Rattus norvegicus: one gene and its partner. The protein of the gene in region 2 interacts with the protein of the main gene of each other region in a biochemical or structural test. Links are inferred from orthologs where the notes say so. Each region holds a gene or a part of one and is shown on either strand. Other genes may lie near its edges.

Region 1 (10,217 bases), on a different chromosome or scaffold from region 2:
GCGGGACAAGTGCGTGTGCGCGTTATAGCCACTTTCACATCCCTCTCCCTCTGACCTACGCTTGTCCAGGGTGGGGGCTCAGTCTTGCCCTTTCCTAACTGCACCAGAAAGCACCCCAGTCCACAAAGTATGCACAGCACAGAGCAGGCTCCACCTGTACCATCCACGGCTTGTTCTGGAGCATAGCTGTGTCCCTTTGGCTCAGCCCCTCAAGGGCCCAGAGAAGGAGCTGTTAGAGGCCCTCCTGGCATTTATGAAAAGATCAGTTAGTCAACAGATGAGCAGAAACCCCTAGCCAGAGCCTATAGGCACCCCAGCTGCACGAGTTTCCTAGTAAAGCAGCAACTCAGACCCAGAAAGCTCCAGGTGCCCATGTGAGGACAGCATGTCTGAGGACAGCACGTTTGAGGACAGCACACGCTACCCTGCAGAGAAGGCTCTCCAGGACAAGTTTCAGCACAATGAGCAGACTTGACAACAGTTAAACTCAAGATGCTTCTAGAGTCAGAGACCTTAGCTCTAGAAGTTAAGTCTGCATTCTCTACCATGCTGGAACTAACGGGATACTCTCCTCGGAGGACACTCTTGCAGCACTAACATCAAAAACTTAACATGCTTTATGGACGATTCAAGGGAAAAGGCAAAACAGGCAATGAGTTATACCTTAATTATCTGTAAAATCACTAGGAGATTTCCTTTAAGTGCCATGAGCTTCTCTGAGGAAAACTACATTATAGCTATAGAATGGTAGTTGCAAGACCCTAGGCAAATCAGTTTGCCCTTTTTTGAGACTCCCTACCTGCGCACACACACACACACACACACACACACACACACACACACACACACGCATGCACGCACGCACGCACGCGTCATCATTTGCAGGGTTGGGTGGATGGATATGTGGGTACATGTGTGGGTACCTGTGTGGGTACATGTGTGGGTACATGTGTGGACAGAAAACAAGAGGAGGCCAATAATACTGGAGCTGGCACTCTACTTCACAATTACATGGATACCGAAGATCGAGCTCAGGTCATTGGTTTGCAAGGCCAGGGGAAGGAACCCTCACTTCAGAGCTGTCAGCCTGACTTTCAGTGTAACAAAGTGTCTCATGTGGATGCCACAATGTCCACCTGAAAGCGGATAGAAGGTGGCTCTGTAAGGTGCTTCTGAAGCAGAAGGGATAGCCTGAACCTTGAAGGGTTACTTACCAGCAGTATCAAGTCCTCTGAACCCTCAAGGAAGAAGAAAACCCTGAGGCACCCACTGCAGATGTGATAACATGGTCACACTTTAGAAGTCTTTCTCCCTGAAGATCAGTAAAACCAAACCTTTCCCTTCCATATGGTGGTAGGAACCACCCCAGGCCTTGTGAGGACAGTTCCTTTTTTTTTTTCCTTTTCTTTTTTTCAGAGCTGGGGACCCAGGGCCTTGTGCTTGCTAGGCAAGCGCTCTACCACTGAGCCAAATCCCCAACCCCGTGAGGACAGTTCCTTACAAAACACATAAGCCACTTTAGAATTACTAGTAAAAACAGTTCCCTTGGCCCACAAAACCCCAACTCACTAAACACACAAACAGCAGACATAGAAACCAGGAGTCCTGCACCCATACCAATCAACAGATTCAAAGGAAAATGTACCACAAACTCATTGCTGTGGTGTATATGTGATACATATGTTTTAACATACATTATGTTGTATAGATTATTTCATACCAATTATCATCTTGTCTTTTGCTGCAAATCAGCGTTTAGCAAACCAGGACCATTTGAAATCTATCACATATGCACTCGTCAGTAAAATCTAAACCAGGCTTCATCTTTATCTATCCAATAGCCAAAAGCTGAACTCAACTTCAAGGCTGGCAGCTCAGTTCTTAAGACGGTGGCAAGAGAACGGAATGAAAACACTGCTGTTTTCTGAAGGAAGGGAGCAGGAGAGTTACGCGTAGGCACACAGCACCGATACCGCCCTCACTCTGATGCTTGCATGTGTTACGACGGTGCTCAGCATCCAGGCTCCATTTTGTCTTGTGACAGACAAGCTTATAAGCAAGGAAGAATGCACTATTATTTCCACAGAGAATGTGTTTTTAAATTCATCCCTTATCAATGCAAAGGCATGCTGAGCATCCTAAACCTTGGCCATGATTAAAGACCACTGAGTTCACTGACTGAGGACATCTGAGAAGACGCCCTTGTGTTGCTTCCACAGATCAATTCTCTAAGAGCTCAGGCACTGACACTGCACCAAATGGTCTCCTGTGCCTTCCTGAACATGAAGATCAAACAGGGTGTGTGTGCCTCACTGGCACATACAAAAACTGGTTGTGGAGCCAAAACGTCTACTTAAAACCCCAAATGCTCAATACTGAATACTGGATAGGCTTACTTCTAAACAGGCTCCCATCTCCACGGATCTAGTCAGACCCCCGCCTCTGATGCACAGTAGGCCTCACCCGCAGCTGCATGGCAGAAGCACCTCAGAAGCCCATGCACCTGAGGCTGAGGCCCGCCCCATGGTTTACACTGGTGTAGCTGGTGTGAGCAGTGCAGTCCACAGCAGGAAAGCGCCAGAGTTCTGAGGTAATCCAACACCAGTCAGTACCAGGACAATCTTGAAATTCTGCATTACATGACCTGAGGTATTCCATTAAAAGGACCTCCAGACCAGACAGAAGAAGTGGAGAAGTCATGACACCAGAAGTCCCCATGTGGCCCCCAAGCTCTCACATCTCTGGTGACAGGCACTGTATGGAACCAGTGAGCAGGTAATAGCGTTCCAACTGGAGTGAGGAGCAGAACCTAAGGAGAACTATGGGGTGGGGCAGGGAGACACTAAACTCATGCACACACAATGCCCGTGCTCAGAGCTGTGATAAAACAGCAACCTCTACACACAGACGTAAGAGCGACCATGCCAGGAAAACAAGAAGAAACTCCCTGGCTTCAGTAAGTCACAGATGGGAGGCAGGCTCTTGGGCCTTACCCATCCATTCCTGCTCATCTACTGTCTTGGGAGAAGGGGAGTCACTGTCCTCAGCTGTGTCCCTGCTGATCCCACCAGGCTCCAATCCACAGCCGCAGACCTATGGCCACCCAGACCGCCCTGACTAAACTTAGTGCATCCCAGAACATATGGCACAAAGGTGAGAGAGTCGCCTGGAGGAATGAAGAAGCAAGGAGAGAAGAGCGGTCAGCATGCACTGTGTGCATATATTACGGTGCTGAAAACTAACTTAGTAATGAAAACAGATTAAGAGACCCAAAGAAAGTCACCAATTCCTCTAAACTGTGAAAGAGAAGTCACAATGAGGGAGGTGAGTTATTAAGCACATAGATCAGTGTCATGAATAGAGTTAGACGGGCAAAAAGAACTGCTATGCTGTGTCAGAGAAGGAAAGAGAAGCTGATTCCAGTTTCTCAGCAAAGACCCTGAGGGGAGATGAGGAGGAAGCACCTGTGTGCTTACAAAGACTAACTTCAAGTTCCAGAATGGGTGTCATGTCTTCAGGCAGGGTTCACTAAGCACCAAGCAGATATGAAGTTTAAACTAAACAAACAACACACACTCTCTCTCACATTCTGTGATGAAAAGCAGAATGCAGGGGTAGAATGAAAAGCAAGAGGCCTCAAATGTAGGGGGAAACCCAGAAATCAGGTAACAAACAAAATTACCCAAACTGGAAGCTGAGGGACAGCTCAGCAGTGACTTCGACCAAATCACTCTTTCAGTGAAGCAAATAACACCATTTGTGAGCTCTACCATTTATAACTACCATTTATAGCTCTCCTCAAAAAAAAAAAAAAAAAAAAGGAACTGAGCTCATACTCTAAAAGATGAGTCCAAGAGAAAGGACACAGAAACAATAAAAAGTAGGAAGAGAAATGCAAGGCTAGGGAGCGCTAACCACTAAGAACACAGCACACAGAGAAACAAGAGGACAGCTGCCCTCTTAACAACTTGAGAGGTGGGCTAAGGAACGGAGACATTCTCTCCTCTTGTGGGATAATGGATACAGACTCTAAGTGTTCACACACAAACGAGTCAAATTGTGTCAGAAAATCAGGTTGGGGACTTCTGAGAGATCTAAAACCTGAAGAAATGGGCCCAGATAAGCATTTAGAAACAGCTGCTGAAGCAGGACCCAGGAAGCACAGAGCCCCACTCAGGAAGGGAGGTGTCCTGTTCCGAGCCTCACTACACTAGGAATACTTCTCTGCAACTCTTCAGCAGTGATCCCCAATCAGAACAAGAGAGCCAGCACATGGTAGTGGTGAGCACCTTTACTCCCAGTCTGGAGGCAGAGGCAGGTGGAGCTCTGAGTGTGAGGCCAGCCTGAGAGAAACCCTGTCCCCACAAAGCAAAAAGGAAAAAAGAAAAAGTACTGGCCAGGTAGTAAGAGTGTGGGTAGAGTGTTGGACTGTACATTTAAAACATCTTTGAAAAGAAGACACCCCCTCTACAGTGGCCCACCTAGGACAATGCCAATGGCAGAAGTGTCATTGCCCTACCGAGACATCTGACCTCAGGTCACAGGTGAGGCCATTTCAGATACTGACTAACCTGCTCCTGCCTCTTTGCCCAGCTAAGGCCTCGCCTACGTGTACTGCCTGTTAGGTGGGGTCAAGGAGACCCAAAGCAGCGTCCTTCCTTCCACACCCAGACCCACCTTTGAAGCTGGTTTTGTGTTCACACTTCCGTTCTCCACAGCACTAAAATCCAGTTTGCCGTCATCCTTACTTCCTATAGCTTTTAGTCCTTGCAGAAGGATGTCACGTAGGTTTTGGTAAAGCGGCTTTTCAGTGTAGTCCAGTAGTTTCACAGTCTCCATGTACTTAGCGATCTCACCTAAAATAACAACATGGTCATTTTACTACATTAGGTCATGAACCCGCTATGCCCGTCTCACTCCTAAGAAGACAGTCACAGCCAACACAGAACTACCAGTGTGTACCATGTTGAAATAGAATCCGGGCTCTCATTCAGAGCTCAATGCAAAGCATGCCCGCAAGTCCGGGACTTTAGGTAAGTAAAGTAAACAACATATTTTGAGTTACAATGTAAAAGACTTTTCTGCAACCCTAAGAGACATAAGAGAACATAAATTAAATTTGGACACACACAAAATGTATATATAAAAGGAATTCAGAATGTAGTACACCTGAGTTGCAATGACACCATAAGTTAGCAGTCTTGAAAGAGAACATGCTATGAAGTGAGAAACAGAACCCGGAGAGCAGACTCAAGAACAGCAAGACAGGTCCACAGAACATGAGAAGAAACTTTACTGACAGGACCGGCCCCACTTACAAGCATCCACCTTGATGGAGCATCCACTGTTCTCCCATCATTAGTTCCCTGACATGCAACCATTGCCTCAGACCCCACCCAACTCCTGTGCTGGGAGTCTCCCTGGTCTGTCACTGAAAATGCTGCCCTCCTCCTCCCAGGCCAGGCCAGCATCTCATCAGTCTTCCTCCCACTCCACATCCAGCGCAGAATGTTCTCTCCCCAGGCAGGACCCATCACAGACACACATGTAAGCACTAGCTTAACTATTTAAGTGCCACAGTGTGCCCAGGCACTATCCTGAACAGTTGGTGGGGAGGTTGGGGGAAGAGGGGTGTTGAATTGCCAAACATCCACTATCTTAACTGGATAAAATGGAATCTAAAATACCCAAGACAATATGATCAAAACATACTGCATAAAGTTATGAAGCATACAAAAATAATAAAATTCTTTTAAAAAATATAAGAATATATAAAAAATATGGAACAAATATCAGTGTGTCTGACAAAAAGAACAAAGTTCCTGCTTTACAGGAGAGAACAGCATCCACCTTTGCCTCCATCTACACAGAACAGAGCAGCCAAGTATGTTTCAGCTGTACAGAAGGCAAGACAGCAAGGCAAGGGCATCAAAGCGCCTTAAGGAGCAAACAGCTCAGCTGCACTTGTCTCACAAAATGGTCTTGGTAACCAGACATATACTCCTAGCTTTTAGGAAGCTCAGGTAGGAAGAGCACAAGTTCAAGGCCAGCTAGGGCTACACGGAAAAATCAAGTACTGGGAGGGAGGGAAGGAGGGAGGGAGGGAGGGAGGGGAAAGGGAGAGGGGGGAGGGGACAGCAGAGCAAATTCCTACGGAGCCTACAAAGCTGCTAAAGCTAGTATATAGCTACGGCACAGCACAGAACACAGGGTAAACAGAACAGAGGGTAAATACATAAAGATCTGCCTTATTTTTAGATTCTGTTAAAAACTAGAAATGAAATGTTCAAACCAGAGCAGTTAACATAAAAAAAGCATCAATTACCCAATGTGACTGTGCAAAATTTCTGCAGAGACCAAAATACAACCAGAATTTAAGGAGGGATTTAATGGAAGAATTGCCACAGTGTGCTGGAGGATTCGGTATTGCAAAGGCAGTGGCTCTCAGAACTCAAACACAAAGCACTCTAAGCTCAGAGCCCAGCACACATGAGAGAGAGTGTGAAGCTGACATAACGGCACTAGAGCTCCAACAGGAACGCAGTGAGGAACCAGGTCAGAGCTGGGGAGAGGCACAGCAGTAGGAGCCCTGGCTACTTCCCCACGGATGTGGGCTCCAACCAACACCCACGAAGTGACTCACAACCATCTGAAACTCCTGTTCCAGGGGACCAAACACCCTCTACTGGCTTCTGTAGGAACTAGGCACACATGTGGGGTATAGACATACATGCAGGAAAAACACCCCACACATAAGTTTTAAAAAATTCTTTAGTTTAAAAAGAAAAAAAAAAAAAAAAGACCAAGTTGGGATTAAAACCAGCAACACTCAAGGACTTGAGGCTCTGGACACTGCTGGTCAAAGTCTTGAGGAGATGATGCCAGGTCAGCTGACTGAGCCCTTCTCACACAGTGCACGTGAGCTCTGGCAGCCTGTGGGAAGCTGGCGCTGTGCGGAGGGCAAGGTCTAGACGAGCAGCAGAGTATGTGAGTAATGGACACTGGAAAGCAGGCGCCACACAGACACACAGCAGGAGTCTGGGGGTCCTGGGGCCAGGATTGGGGCCAGGATGGATGGTGACAGAAGAGCACATTGCCATGTGCTTCCCCACTTCAGCCCTCGGCAGTCTTCCCTCAACCAGGAACCAGACACACTTCATGTCTCTAGAAGGGGAGGCCATTGGCATCCTTCTCCTATTTCAAGCTGTAGACTCTAAAAGTAAAAGCCAATGGCCTCACGATAACCAAAACGAGCTCACCCCAACTCCCTCTGAGATCGTCCTCCCAGTCTCCACACAGCTCGCTTCATTACCGCCTTCCTTCAGCTGCTACAGTAGCCCCTTAGCAAGGCTGTCCTTGGCCTCTCTGATCAACATTTACATTCTCCCCCTGCTCCCTGTGCCTTCTCCACATTCCCAACTCTATTTTCCTATTTTCTTACTCTGCACAGATCTACAGTATAATGTGCTAACAAAAATCCCTGATACACCCTGAGGGAGGGGTCTGGTGCAGCCTGCACAGACAGTACTCCGGCCGGTGCATAATACAACCTCCATAGACACTGCCTAAGTGAAAGCCAAGGGCAACTGCATAAAGCTCTGAGTGCACTGCACCTCCAACAGCAGCAGTCCTGAAACACCCAAACTCACACACAGGCTGAAGGCTTTTTCCTCGCAGAAAACAAAAACCATACAAAGGACTACGGAAGCCTTCCTTACCTGGCTTATTCCTCTCAGGAAAGCATTTCTCCATCAAAGCTGCGACATTGTCTCTGTATCTGCAGAGGAAGGAAGGAGTCCTTAGTTATGTTGTGGTCCCCAAGAGCCTTCAATAATAGGACACATCTCAGGAGGCAGTGCGTCTTAGGGGAACAGCAAAGTTCAAACAGACATGCTATCTAACCTGCACCTTCTAACTTACATCACTTCCAGGTGTGCTAACCCGGGCAGGAGGACTACTCAACAAGGCACTGCCTATGAAATAAAATAAAATAAAACAAAATAAAATAAAACAAAACATAATATAGAGAATAAAACTCTAGAGACACTATCAAGAAATGCTAACAAAACCCTGTCTGTGCCTCTCTCACCACATGGCAGGCAGGAGAGCTGGCCCCGGGATCATGAGAGTGGGAGAACTGGCCCTGTCCCTCACTGGCTGCAACACTCAGTAGAGTGGGCCCCGCATCTCTCCTGGGCAGCAGGGTAGAGGTGGCCCTGGTAGCAGCCCAGATCTAGGGCTTTGAATCAGCACACCCACAGGCGGGCCGGTCCTACAGATTGAAAACTAGATGATCTCCATGACACAAGAAGCAACAGGATACCCCAGAAGAATCCCAGTGAGGGTCCAGAATTGAGAAGTCAGAGGCCTCCCATTTGCAGCAAATGAGTGTAGACAAAGGGGTACAATGTGGCACACATTATGACACACTACAGCTTCCACAAGATTGTTTTCTCTGTTGAGGGGCCATGGGTGGAAGGTGGGTATGAGGGGAAGGAGAGATTAGTAGGATTGGGGTGCATGATTAAAATTCACAAAAAAATGTTTAAAAAAATCTTTTGTCCCATCACCACTCAACCCAAAACAATGTAAGTTGTTCCTTGCCTAATTTTGGACTGTCTGACGTAGTTGGGGTCTTTCAAGTTATCCTCCCAAGGAAGACAGCCGCTGAGCCACTGGATCATGCAGTAACCAAGTATTTCCAAATCACCACGTCGAGATGGGGCTGCAAAGAGAACAGGAGAAAGCACAGTGAAAGAGCTTTCCAGAAAAACATCAAGATAGAGCAGTCCCCTCAGGTCAGAAACGTCCGCCTGCATATAATAAAAGCACTGAACAACGGGCTGAACGAAACGAATCTTTATCTCTAAGTCATAACTCACTTAAAACCCAAACTGCTAACTGAGGGTTTGAAACTGCTCCTACTGGTCTAGGAGGTAAAGTCTGAAGACATCTCACACACACCCAGTTGTCTTGGGGAGACACGAAGACACCGACAGACACTGTCAAAATGTCCTTATAAAAACAAAAGCCACACAGAAACTGGACACTAGAGAACAAAGCAGCACTGAGCTAAGCTGTAAGGCCAGAGGCATTCATTCATTCATTCATCCATCCATTCACAGGGCCCTCAGGTGCAGGAGCTGAACCCCCGCCCTCCTCCTCCACACCACTCTTCCAGTACTCTCTATCAGTCTGTGTGTTTACTTAGCATGGCTCTGCAGAAATTCAGACAGAAACATCAGCACTGTGGAGGCACACAGGCCACTGGACGTACCCACGCCATTGTGAGCATCGATGCTGGTGAACTCCAGTGTGCCGTCGTGGCACCTTTTGGGATCTTCCTTGTACTCTTTATGAACTCCATCTGGGCAGTACCGATAAGCAAGTCCATAGTCAACCAAATACACCTATAAATTTCCAAGCACCGATTAGAGACGAGAATCAATGCACGTGAATTACTAGAAAGTACCGAAATAAAATACACTTGCTTGGACGTAGGTTCACCTACTGGGGTCAACAGCAGCTCTCCAAACTGGCCAGATCTAAGCTGAGCACTGCACAAGTCCTGAGCCTCCCCGCCTGCTCCCGCAGTGCTGGGGACCACACCTAAAGCTTCACCCGAGCCAAGCAAGAGCTCTGTTGCGGCTGAGCCGTATCTCAGCAACTCTTACTTGGGAAAATCTTACTCTGTCTGCAGCACTAGAGGTCTAACAGGACCTTCCTCTACCTCTAAGCTAGTCCCAACCTTCCGCCCAAGCACTCTTTACTTTAATAAATGCTAAAGAACCACAAAGCTGCCGTGCCTGAATGTTAGCTCACTGTGCTTTCTCAGGCAAGCATGTGCGAAAGTAATTAATCCTGTCTCCTTGGAAAGGCTTACAGATGCTGTTTCTCTTACAGAGTCTAGAACAAAACTATCATAAAATGTAAATTTTCAAGACTCTCCACAAAGAAAAGGGTCATGAGTACTGTTAGTACACGATACAACAGCTGGCTTCTCCCCTTCATTCTTGTAGAATAGTCAAATGCCTATTTACTTCATAAAAGTGACTCAAGGACTATAATGACATTCAGAACTCTTAGATGAGATCTTTACCTGCATCTTAAATACTATATATTCAAGTCTTCCAGATTAAAGGTAACTTTAAAGAAAGACAGAACAATCGTGTGGGTACAGCCTGCTGCTCTGACTAGCATGCAACATTGAAACATGT
Region 2 (10,828 bases):
TATTAGCCCAAATGCTTGAATTACCCTAGATGCATAGAACACATGAAACTCAAGACGGGGGGTTGGGGATTTAGCTCAGTGGTAGAGCGTTTGCCTAGGAAGCGCAAGGCCCTGGGTTCGATCCCCAGCTCCGAAAAAAAAAAAGAACCAAAAAAAAAAAAGAAACTCAAGACGGATGATCAAAATGTGAATGCTTCACTCCTTCTTTAAAAGGGGAACAAGAATACCCTTGGCAGGGAATAGAGAGGCAAAGATTAAAACAGAGACAGAAGGAACACCCATTCAGAGCCTGCCCCACATGTGGCCCATACATATACAGCCACCCAATTAGACAAGATGGATGAAGCAAAGAAGTGAAGGCCGACAGGAGCCTGATGTAGATCTCTCCTGAGAGACACAGCCAGAATACAGCAAATACATAGGCGAATGCCATCATTAAATCACTGAACTGAGAACGGGACCCCCGTTGAAGGAATCAGAGAAAGGACTGGAAGAGCTTGAAGGGGCTCGAGACCTCATATGAACAACAATGCCAAGCAACCAGAGCTTCCAGGGACTAAGCCACTACCCAAAGACTATACATGGACTGACCCTGGACTCTGACCTCATAGGTAGCAATGAATAGCCTAGTAAGGGCACCAGTGGAAGGGGAAGCCCTTGGTCCTGCTAAGACTGAGCCCCCAGTGAACGTGATTGTTGTGGGGAGGGCGGCAATGGGGGGAGGATGGGGAGGGGAACACTCATAAAGAAGGGGAGGGGGAGGGGTTAGGGGGATGTTGGCCCGGAAACCGGGAAAGGGAATAACACTCGAAATGTAAATAAGAAATACTCAAGTTAATAAAAAAAAAATTAAAAAAAAAAAAGAATGAGTAAAAGCACACAATGAATCTGAGTATTAGGTAAGGAAAATGTGCTACACGTATACATAATGGAATACTACTTGGCTGTAAAGATGGGACATAATTTCCCTTAGTATGGAGGCAACTGGAGGGCAGCATGCTACAGGGAGACAAATGCCACACATGTTCACTTCCATGAAGACTTAAAAATAAAGGATCACGGGGCTGGAGAAGTGGCTCAGGGGTTAAGAGCACCCGACTAGTCTTCCAGAGGTCCTGAGTTCAATTCCCAGCAACCACATGGTGGCTCACAACCATCTGTAAAGAGATCTGATGCCCTCTTCTGGTGTGTCTGAAGACAGCTACAGTGTACTTATATAGAATAAATGAATAAATCTTTAAAAAAAATAAAGGATCACAAAGAAGTAGGAAGTAGAATAGTAGTTATCAGAAGCTATGGTTGTGGGGGGAAAGACACTCCTGTACACTCTGATAGAAAGACTAGACTCTAATGCTCCAGTGGTGGACAGTATAATTAACTGTCCTCAGAGAGCTTCAAGAGAGGGTTTTCTCTCTCTTTCTTTCTTCCTTCCTTCCTCTTCTCCTTCCTTTCTTTCTCCTTCCTTCTTTGGAAGACACTAGTAGCTTTGGCTGGCTTGACTCACAGATCTACCTGTGTCTGCTACCCAAGTGCTAAGATTAAAGGTGAGTCTGAGACAGGGCTTTCAATGTCCCCAAATAAAAAACCAGTATGAGGAGACAGATATGCCAATCAATTCTGATCTGATACATTCCATCCTGAAATGACAGACTGTACTGACAAATATGTATAACTGTATGCTAATAAAGCACTTAAAATAATAAACTAAAATGCCTTCCTATTCCTGTTCGGGCTCTCAATTGTTGCACCTACCCATAGGGTCCATGACGGTTTGTGATGCTTACATTATGTCAACCTGGCAAGACTATGGGGCCCTGAGTTCAGATGCTGTGCCCCTGGCTTTTCTAAAGTGTTTCCGGGTGAGCTTCCCACTGAGGTCCCGAGACTGAGTGAATTAGGGCAACTTGATTTTGAGAGCCTTCTTCGCCCAGGCTGCTGTGACTCTGCTTCCCATGACTCTGCTTATTTGTATGTTTTTGTGTTTTGTTTTGTTTTGTTTCTAGACAGGGTTTCTCTGTGTAGTCCTGGCTGTCCTGGAACTCACTATGTAGACCAGGTTGGCCTGGAGATCAGAAATTTACTTGCTTCTGCCTCCTGAGTACTGGGATCAAAGGTGTGTGCCACCACTGCCTGATGACTCTACTTCTTTGCCAGCAATGAAGAAGGGTGTGTGTGTGTGTGTGTGTGTGTGTGTGTGTGTGTGAGAGAGAGAGAGAGAGAGAGAGAGACACCTGTGGGAACAGAAGAGACTGTAGGATCCCCTAGAGCTGAACATAAAGGTGGTTGTGAATCACTGTGTGTGGGTGCTAGGATCCAAACTCAAGTCCCCTACAGAACAGGCAGAGCTCTGGACTGCTGAACCTCAGCCTCCTCCTCAATATGTCACTAGCCATGGTCCATGGTCCACCATGCTCACTCCTCCATCCTTGCATGGTGAGAAGGTGAGCTTAGCTCTGACTCAGGAAACTAACATGCTCATCCGGTGAAATGTCTGCTAAAACCACGGTGACACCGAGAAGATTCACGTGGTTCCTGTACAGGGATGACACATAAACGTGACCCATCGCCCACTCCCAGGCTCAGGGAACATCAGAGAGAAGAGGGAAGGGAATAATACAAGAGCTGACACAGCCACTGCACTTATGGACTCGCCTTCGGGAGTGGCTATCTGCAGAGGACCTACATAGGACTAGGCCTCTCAACAGTTCACTGGGATGTGAGAAGGGTCTATGAGCCCCCACCCTTCCCTGACAACTATTAAAAATAAACAGAACTAAGTATTGCTTTTCTCAGTGCCTCCATCAATAGAGTGCTTGCTGGGCAAGCGCGAGAACCTAGCTTTGGAGCCCTAGTGTGCTGATGTGTATCTGTAATCCTAGCACTGGGAAAGTAGAGACAGACAGCAATACAGACCCTTGGAGCTTGCTAGCCAGGCCAGCCTAACCTAGCTCCAGGTTCAGTGAGAGACCCTATCTCAGAAAACTAAGGTGAGTGAGAAAGGCACAAGCCATCAACCTCTGGCCTCCACACATAAATTTACACACAGGCCTGCACACCCGAGGCTATGTGCACACACACATTTAAGTTGTAGACATATATACATACAATGAATCTGTGGGGGTGGGGGGACAAACTATAAGGAGGAAGAAACAAAGGAATCAAAAAAACTTTCACATTTAGTTGCTCGTTTTATTTTCTTAAAATAATTTCTTTTCCTTGGTACAGTTGTTTTGACTGCATGTATGTCTGTGTACAGTACCCATGATGGCCAGAAGAGAGCATCAGATTCCCCCTGGGACTATAGTAAGCTATCAGGAGGGACCTGAACTCTGAACCAGGGTCATCCAAAAGAGCAGTCAGTGTTCTTTTTTTTTTTTCTTTTCTTTTTTTTTTTTTTTCGGAGCTGGGGACCGAACCCAGGGCCTTGTGCTTGCTAGGCAAGTGCTCTACCACTGAGCTAAATCCCCAACCCCGCAGTCAGTGTTCTTAACCACTGAGCAATCTTACCATCCTTCCCATGGAGTCTTTTCCTATGGTCTCCACCATTTACCACCAGGGCTAGATGCAATCCACCTCTTCATCACCCTGGACCGAATCCAGGGCCTTAGGCACCGTAGCTAGGAAAGCACTCATCACTTACTGTGGGCCTTCTCAGGCCCACAGAGGTAACTTCTTTCCAGACAGCTTTCACGTTTTTTTTTTTAAACATCATTAGCAACATTATAAGAATGTAATTCCTGGGTGATGCATTAATTTAAGCATTAACTATAGCCAGCAGCAACTAATTAAGTCATTAGGCAGGGAACTGTTCAGGATGTAAACTTAACAGGTGGTGACACAGCCCTTACTCTTGTTGAAATAGCCATTAAAGTACACTGAGAATGGATTTCTTTCTGTCAGTAGAAAGGGAAATGAGCCTTGGTCTGTCTAGAGATAGAAGCAGGCAGACCTCTATAGCTCAAGGCCAGCCTGGTCTACACTGAGAGAACTTGCCTCAAAAAATGAAAGGGGAGAGAGGAGGGGAAGGGAAGGGAAAGAAGGGGAGGGGAGAAGAGGGGAGGGGAAGAGAGAAGGGGGGAGGAGAGGTTTGAAATTTGTACTATTTCAAGTTGTTACCTGAAGCAGAACGACTAACAAATCATAGTATTCCTGATTTAAGAGATACAAAGATGTGGTCATTGTTTCTATTTATTTCCCTGATGTTCTGAAGGAATCTTGCAAACGTGACACTCTCTACAGAAAGCAACATTAAACAAAGACGAGCAAGAAACAGACTGGTTTATAATTCTGAATCTGATTCACCATAGCTGAAGCTTAAAGTGATTGGGTGGGGTGGAGGGGCCATAGATGAAATCAGCCAAGTATGAATGTCAACTGGGATGACTGATGGCATCATCCCGCCATCTGACATAACTAAGCCACTTGCCAACGAGTCACACTACAGCCACTCCTGGATACTCACTTCAGTGTCAACTTTTAAAATTTCTTGTTGTTTTGAGACAGGGTTTCTCTACCTGGCCCTCACTATGTGTAGACGAGACTGGCTTCAAATTCAGAGATCTGCCTGCCATCTGCCTCCTGAGAGTTAGGATTGAAGGTGTATGCTACCGTGTTGTATATATCCTCACCCTGCCCCCCAATTTGTTTCTCTGTGTAGCCCTGGCTGTTCCGGAACTCACTCTGCAGACCAGACTGGCCTCAAACTCACAGAGATCCTCCTGCCTCTGCCTCCGACTTCTGAGAGTAAAGGTGTGCACCACTACTGCCCCGCTTTTACTTTTGTTCCTTTTTAAACAGGTCTCACATATGCCAGGTTGACCTGTGTAGCCAAGGGTACTTTGAACTTCTGAGCCTGCTGCCTGTCTTCACTTCCTCAGTGCTCGGATTCCTATTTAGACGGCTGGGAATCAAACCTAAGTCTTTGAAATAGGCAAGCAGTCAAGCAACTGAAATACACACTCAGCCTCTGTATCCCTATTCACAACTGAAATGCATTCCAATACCAACTCGAAGGGGCCCAGTGACACCTGAATGAGACACAGAATGACATCCACCAGAAGTGGACACGTTGCCAAGGCGCTAAGGTGGGACATTCCATACATTACTAAGAAAACATTTCTGTCTTCCTGCCTGCTTTGGTTTCCTACCTCTGACACCAAGTGCAGCCCAGAGAAGGTGGGTCTGTGGCACATGCACCATGCACACAGCATGCAGAGCCTGGCTGAGCATCGGAACTGCTCCAAGTCTAGTCCCCCTGTAATGAGAAGCGTCCTGGGGAAGGATGCTCCATCCCTGGCTGGACCACTCAGGCTCTCTCGCACGTGCCCTTCTGCAGCTAGCTCGCCACCCCGGCTCCTTGATCCAAAGGTCCAGCAAGCGCGCCCCCGAGCCGCGCCCCCTCCCGCCCCGCGCGCTCCCGCGCACCTGAGGCAGTCGTTGTCTCTCACCAGGCGCGCGCTCTCGGAAGGGGGCAGAAGCCCCCCTTCCAGATAGAGGCCCAGGAGCGCCCCGGAACTGAAGCCAAAGCGCTGGCGGATGAGACTGATGAGATCTGTGACAACTCGGCATCTGTTCAGGTCAACTAGAAGCCAGAAGACCGTGCAGTGTGGAGTGGCCGGCGGCGGGTAGTCAAATTGAAGTCGTACCCTAACCGTCTCGGAGGCTGCCATCTTGCTCATGCTCAACGGAAGCCGAGAGGTTCCACGGGGCTACGAAGCGGCGTGCTCGGGCAGGCCCGCCCCCGGCAGCAGCTAGCGTGCGCCGCCTAGGGGCGCAAGTAGGTCTGCAGGCTCCCAGTGCGAGCTCCCCAGTCTTTCCCAGAACTGATGATGAGGTCTGAATATATGCAAACGGCTGTTAGGATAGCTTCTGGGACATCGGTTCGTGTAATTAAACAGAAACAAACCAAAAATCTTTAAAATTAGTAAGCAACAAGCCTGACCCCAAACCCTGTAATAGAGGATTTTTATTTTTCTACCAAAAAAGGTCAGGAAAGCACCAAAATTCACATGCGTGTGTCCAGGCAGAAAATGAGAGGCTCGTGCTACAAGACCTTACGTTCTCATAAGACTGTTTAAAACAAACACACACGTCCTTCCTTGGGGCTTCAGGGGGTTCAGTGTGTGCTTTGTCCGTGATCAGATCATGTGTTTTCCTTATCTTGAGGCAGAACAATATCCTGAAAGTGTTGAAGGCACAAGTAGAGAATAAAAAAGCTAAATAAATACGAAGCTTAAAAAAAAAAAGATTAAAAGCGAGGCTTGTTCTTTGAAAGCAATAAAAATCAAGAAGCTTGAGGTGGGAATATAACACAGTTGACAGTGATTTCCTAGCATGCACTTGACCCTGGGCTCCAACCCCACCACAAAGATATAAATTAAGAGGATTTTTTAAAAAATTTAATGTTAGGGGTTGGGGATTTAGCTCAATGGTAGAGTGCTTGCCTAGCAAGCACAAAGTCCTGGGTTCAGAATGCAATACCCCACAGCTACACTCCAGCCCTTTGTTACCGTTACACTTATTAGTGGTGCACAGCTACTCAAAATAACATATAAAATGGCATCCACTAGTGATACGATAATTAAACCTAGAAACGGACACAGATTTATCTATTAAACAAATAGATTTGTTTTTAAAGCATCTTAGTTGGGTACAGAGATGGCTCAGGAGTGAAGGGCAGGGGCTTCGCTTCCAGAAGACGCAGATTCACTTCCCAGCACACACATGGCAGCTCGCAACTGTCTAACTCCAGGTCTAGGGGAATCCAACGGCCTCACACGGATATAATTGCAGGCAAAACATTAATGCACATAGAATAAAACTGAATTTAAGAGACGTGTTTTAGGGGTTGGGGATTTAGCTCAGTGGTAGAGCGCTTACCTAGCAAGGGCAAGGCCCTGGGTTCGGTCCCCAGCTCCGGAAAAAAAAAGAAAAAAAAAAAAAGAGAGAGAGACGTGTTTTTAGCATCCTAGAACCCCAAAGCACAGATTTGTCTTTCCTCCTGTTGAAAACAAGGAGCTTTGGGGCCAGGGAGATGTCTCCCAGATTAATGATGTGAAACTTCTAGATCCTTTGAAAAGTTAGTTATGTCAGATGGTGTTTTTCTGGGGACACCAGAGGCAAGGCTGCGTTAAGTTGAAGCTGCTGCAAGGAACCACATGAACACTTTTTCTTTCTTTCTTTTCTTTTTTTTTTTTTTCTTTTTTCCAGAGTTGAGGACCGAACACCCAGGGCCTTGAGCTTGCTAGGCAAGCACTCTACCACTAAGCTAAATCCCCAAACCCAATGAACACTTTTTCTTTTTCCAGATTTATTTCTTTTTGATAAGTAGCCTGTCCCTGTCCTCAGTCACACCAGAAGAGGGCATCCGATTCCATTAAAGATGTTTGTGAGCCAACATGTCACGGCTGGGAATTGAACTCAGACCTCTGAAAGAGCAGTTAGGACTCACAACCACTGAGCCATCTATCTCTCCAGCCCTCAAAAGCAGTTCTTGGGCCCGTTTCTCTCAATGACTGCGTTACCAGAAGTTGAGCTCAGCAAACTCTATGTAAGACAAACCAATACACGCCTGTCATTAGCAAAGACTACATAGCAAGCCAGACAGATGCTCAGCGCTCATCTCCCACTGTCTGTGGGATCATATTGATGCTCCATCACGGGTCCTTTAAAAGTCAGCTATAGCAAAACATCCTTTCGCCTATGCCTGCTTCAGGAAAACAGTCTTTCACCTGTGTCCCCAGAAAAACACCATCTGACATAACTAACTTTTCAAAGGATCTAGAAGTTTCCACTTCAGTGGTTTGTTTATGGAGATTGGAGGAATGTTCATCTCTTTTCCACTGATGCCACAACAAATCACGTCCCCATAAATTCATGGCTCTATTAGCCACACATGGCTTTAAGTTACCTAGTTCCCCTTCTGGCCCCATACACCTGACCCATTTTGCACTTTATTTTAGCTGAGATCAAGTTTCAGTCCTTAGGAGCTAAATATTATTTCCTGAAGAGGCCAATCTAGATGCCAAGATTTTGGTGAAATTATTGGTTTTTCTTTTTTTTAAGATTTATTTATTATGAGTACACTGTAGCTGTCTTCAGACACACCAGAAGAGGGCATCAGATCTCATTACAGATGGTTGTGAGCCACCTTGTGGTTGCTGGGAATTGAACTCAGGACCTCTGGAAGAGCAGTCGGTGCTCTTAACCACTGAGCCATCTCTCCAGCCTGGGGAAATTATTGTTAATCTGCTCCTGCAACTATTAAACCTTCCATTTCAATTTCATTGATTTGTATTTTCTGCTCAGTCAGGTCTCTGATCCTTTATTTATAGCAGTTTTCCAAAATATTCCTTAGTCTCTCCTGAATTTGGAATTGTCGGTTTATGTACTGAAGCTGCTCTGACCTTGAACACATTGAGCATAGAGAATGTGGGGCTGTGCTACCAGACAGGCATGAGGACTGGTAAGGCTGAGGGAGCTCAGACCCTGGGAATCTGAGATTTGAGAACTGCCAGAGCAGGGCCATTTCCTATTGTCTCTGTCCCTGCTCTGGACCACAAACCAGGACACTCAACCCAGAGGACCCGGAGGGGCACCCATCTGTAGCACAGCATGGGAGTTCTTCTCCATGCTAATAGGGCATCCAGATAGGTTTAACCTGTCAGCCACTGACTTTCCCTTCCTGGGTATTCTCACTCACTCCCTGTTGTTGTGAAAATATACAAAATAAAACGCTGTCTTTTATCCCACTCTAGGTCTGGCACCGCAGTGCCCCAAGTTATCTGCTGGATATCTTCTCAGTCAGCAAAGCCTTCACCTGCTTTGCTCCATCCCATATCACACTGCTGAAGGCCTCTCTCTGAGCCAGCAATCTCTCTACCTATCTAGTTCTTTGGTGGCCCAGACCAGCCACCCCACACTCCATTACACTTAAATCTATGCATGAAAGAACACACAATACAATAACCTTTGACCCAATTGATAAGATATAACTGCCCACCTAAACATACAAAGCCCAGTATCATCCATCCCTTAAGAACATTAATAACAACCTGTAAATACACAGAGAGGAATCTTAACATCACCTTGCATGTTGTCTACCAGCTACTCTCTCTCTCCCATCTCCTCCTCTTCCTTCAAGCTCTTCTCCTGCCCATCCTTCCTTCTCATCCAATGACAGGTCTCCTTTTATCCTGTACCTGCCCTCATCTGTATTTTACAAATTAAATGCGGAGAAGGCTCTGGTGAAGTCATGTGAGTCCTGAGTTAGGTGACTAGGCAGCCATCCTTGAGGCAGCAGAATTAGCATCAAAATAAAGATAACCCTAGGGCAAACCACAACATTTCCCCCTTTTTTGGTCCAGTTAAAAAGGCCTTTTCAGGGCTGGAGAGATGGCTCAGTGGTTAAGAGCACCGACTGCTCTTCCAGAGGTCCTGAGTTCAAATCCCAGCAACCACATGGTGGCTCACAACCATCTGTAATGAGATCTGATGCCCTCTTCTGGTGTGTCTGAAGGCAGCTACAGTGTACTCATACAATAAAAAAAAAAAAAGGCCTTTTCACTTACATATAAATTGAATACAAATATCATTCTACAATTTATAAAACATACCATACACTCAACACCCAGTCCATCAATTTTATCCTAAAGCACCTTGTCATCTATCCTAAAAGACTATAATTTCAAACCTGACTTATATCTTGGTTTGAGATTATATGCTATCTGAAAAACTACCCTTTCAAATTTATTATCTTTTTCAATGCTAAACAGCTTGGGTTGTCTACAAGACAACCTGTGTTCAACCCCATCAGAAATCTTTGAATGCCAAATATCTATACACATAGGAAGTCTAACACGGCTTCCAGAACTGAGAGGTTGTAGCGGCAAATCTCTACTAGCACAGTCCTCTGTTAGCAACATGTGAGTGCAAGTCTTCAGTCTTCTGGCCCAAAATCAACTGACAGACTCTAGAAATGCAGATTTTTGAAGGGCCGATCACCCTGTCTTGGCAGAGCTTATCAGTCAACTATTCTGCATAATTTGTCCTTTTCTGGACAATATTAGTCTGCAGATGAAACAGGCAGCTTTGTGTAGTGGCTGCCTAGCCACAAAGTATTGCCTTACCTGAACAAATTCTTCATTAAATCTGCCAAAGGGGAACTGTTAGGAGCAGCTACGTCTCAACAAAAGATAAATAACTTTAAGTCTCAAATTTTGTGGATTTCTGACGTTTTTGAAGACCATCCATCTATATAAGACAATCTGGACTGTTGTTTTCATATCTTAATATTTTTTTTTTGGTTCTTTTTTTTCGGAGCTGGGGACCGAACCCAGGGCCTTGCGCTTCCTAGGTAAGCGCTCTACCACTGAGCTAAATCCCCAGCCCCTTCATATCTTAATATTATCTTGAAAGTGCTCTCACAAAGTCAGAGCCATGAATGTGCTATTTGGCCCTTAACTCACATATGTAATCAACTCAGAAGTTTGTATTGACATAATTAGAAGGACTGGCTCTAAACCTTGTACTTTTAAACTTTTTTGACAAATAAATTCTATACCAAAACAAAGATATGATTTTAGCTTAGTTACCAAATGAGATAATGACTCTACAACTCAATCTAGCTAATTCCTCCCTGTTAAATTACAACCATTTCTAAGTTCCTCATAAAAACAACTTTAGAATAACTGCTTTCAGCCCCCCAAAAGTCCAGGGAATTGGGGCGACGACTCCTCCATAACTTCCTCAAGCTGTACATGGGCGTTGAGCTATCCTTGGGGGTAGGAGGCAGGAAGAATGAAGCAAATGCTGAGCAGATGTGTCCTGA

Evidence for each region.
Region 1: of the proteins of Coil (region 2) and Vrk1, one has a biochemical effect on the other in vitro, tested with the Homo sapiens proteins (2 studies listed by BioGRID and IntAct, with this or other methods). The link is inferred for Rattus norvegicus from reciprocal best matches to the Homo sapiens genes COIL and VRK1.

What each region holds. Positions count from the first base shown.
Region 1 is NC_086024.1:130,727,867-130,738,083, reverse strand, and holds part of Vrk1 (serine/threonine-protein kinase VRK1), read right to left. Parts: intron 9,411-10,217; coding exon 9,278-9,410; intron 8,726-9,277; coding exon 8,605-8,725; intron 7,778-8,604; coding exon 7,719-7,777; intron 4,857-7,718; coding exon 4,678-4,856; intron 1-4,677. UniProt on the Homo sapiens protein: Serine/threonine kinase involved in the regulation of key cellular processes including the cell cycle, nuclear condensation, transcription regulation, and DNA damage response.
Region 2 is NC_086028.1:74,281,693-74,292,520, reverse strand, and holds the start of Coil (coilin), read right to left. Parts: upstream 5,670-10,828; coding exon 5,425-5,669; intron 1-5,424. UniProt on the Homo sapiens protein: Component of nuclear coiled bodies, also known as Cajal bodies or CBs, which are involved in the modification and assembly of nucleoplasmic snRNPs.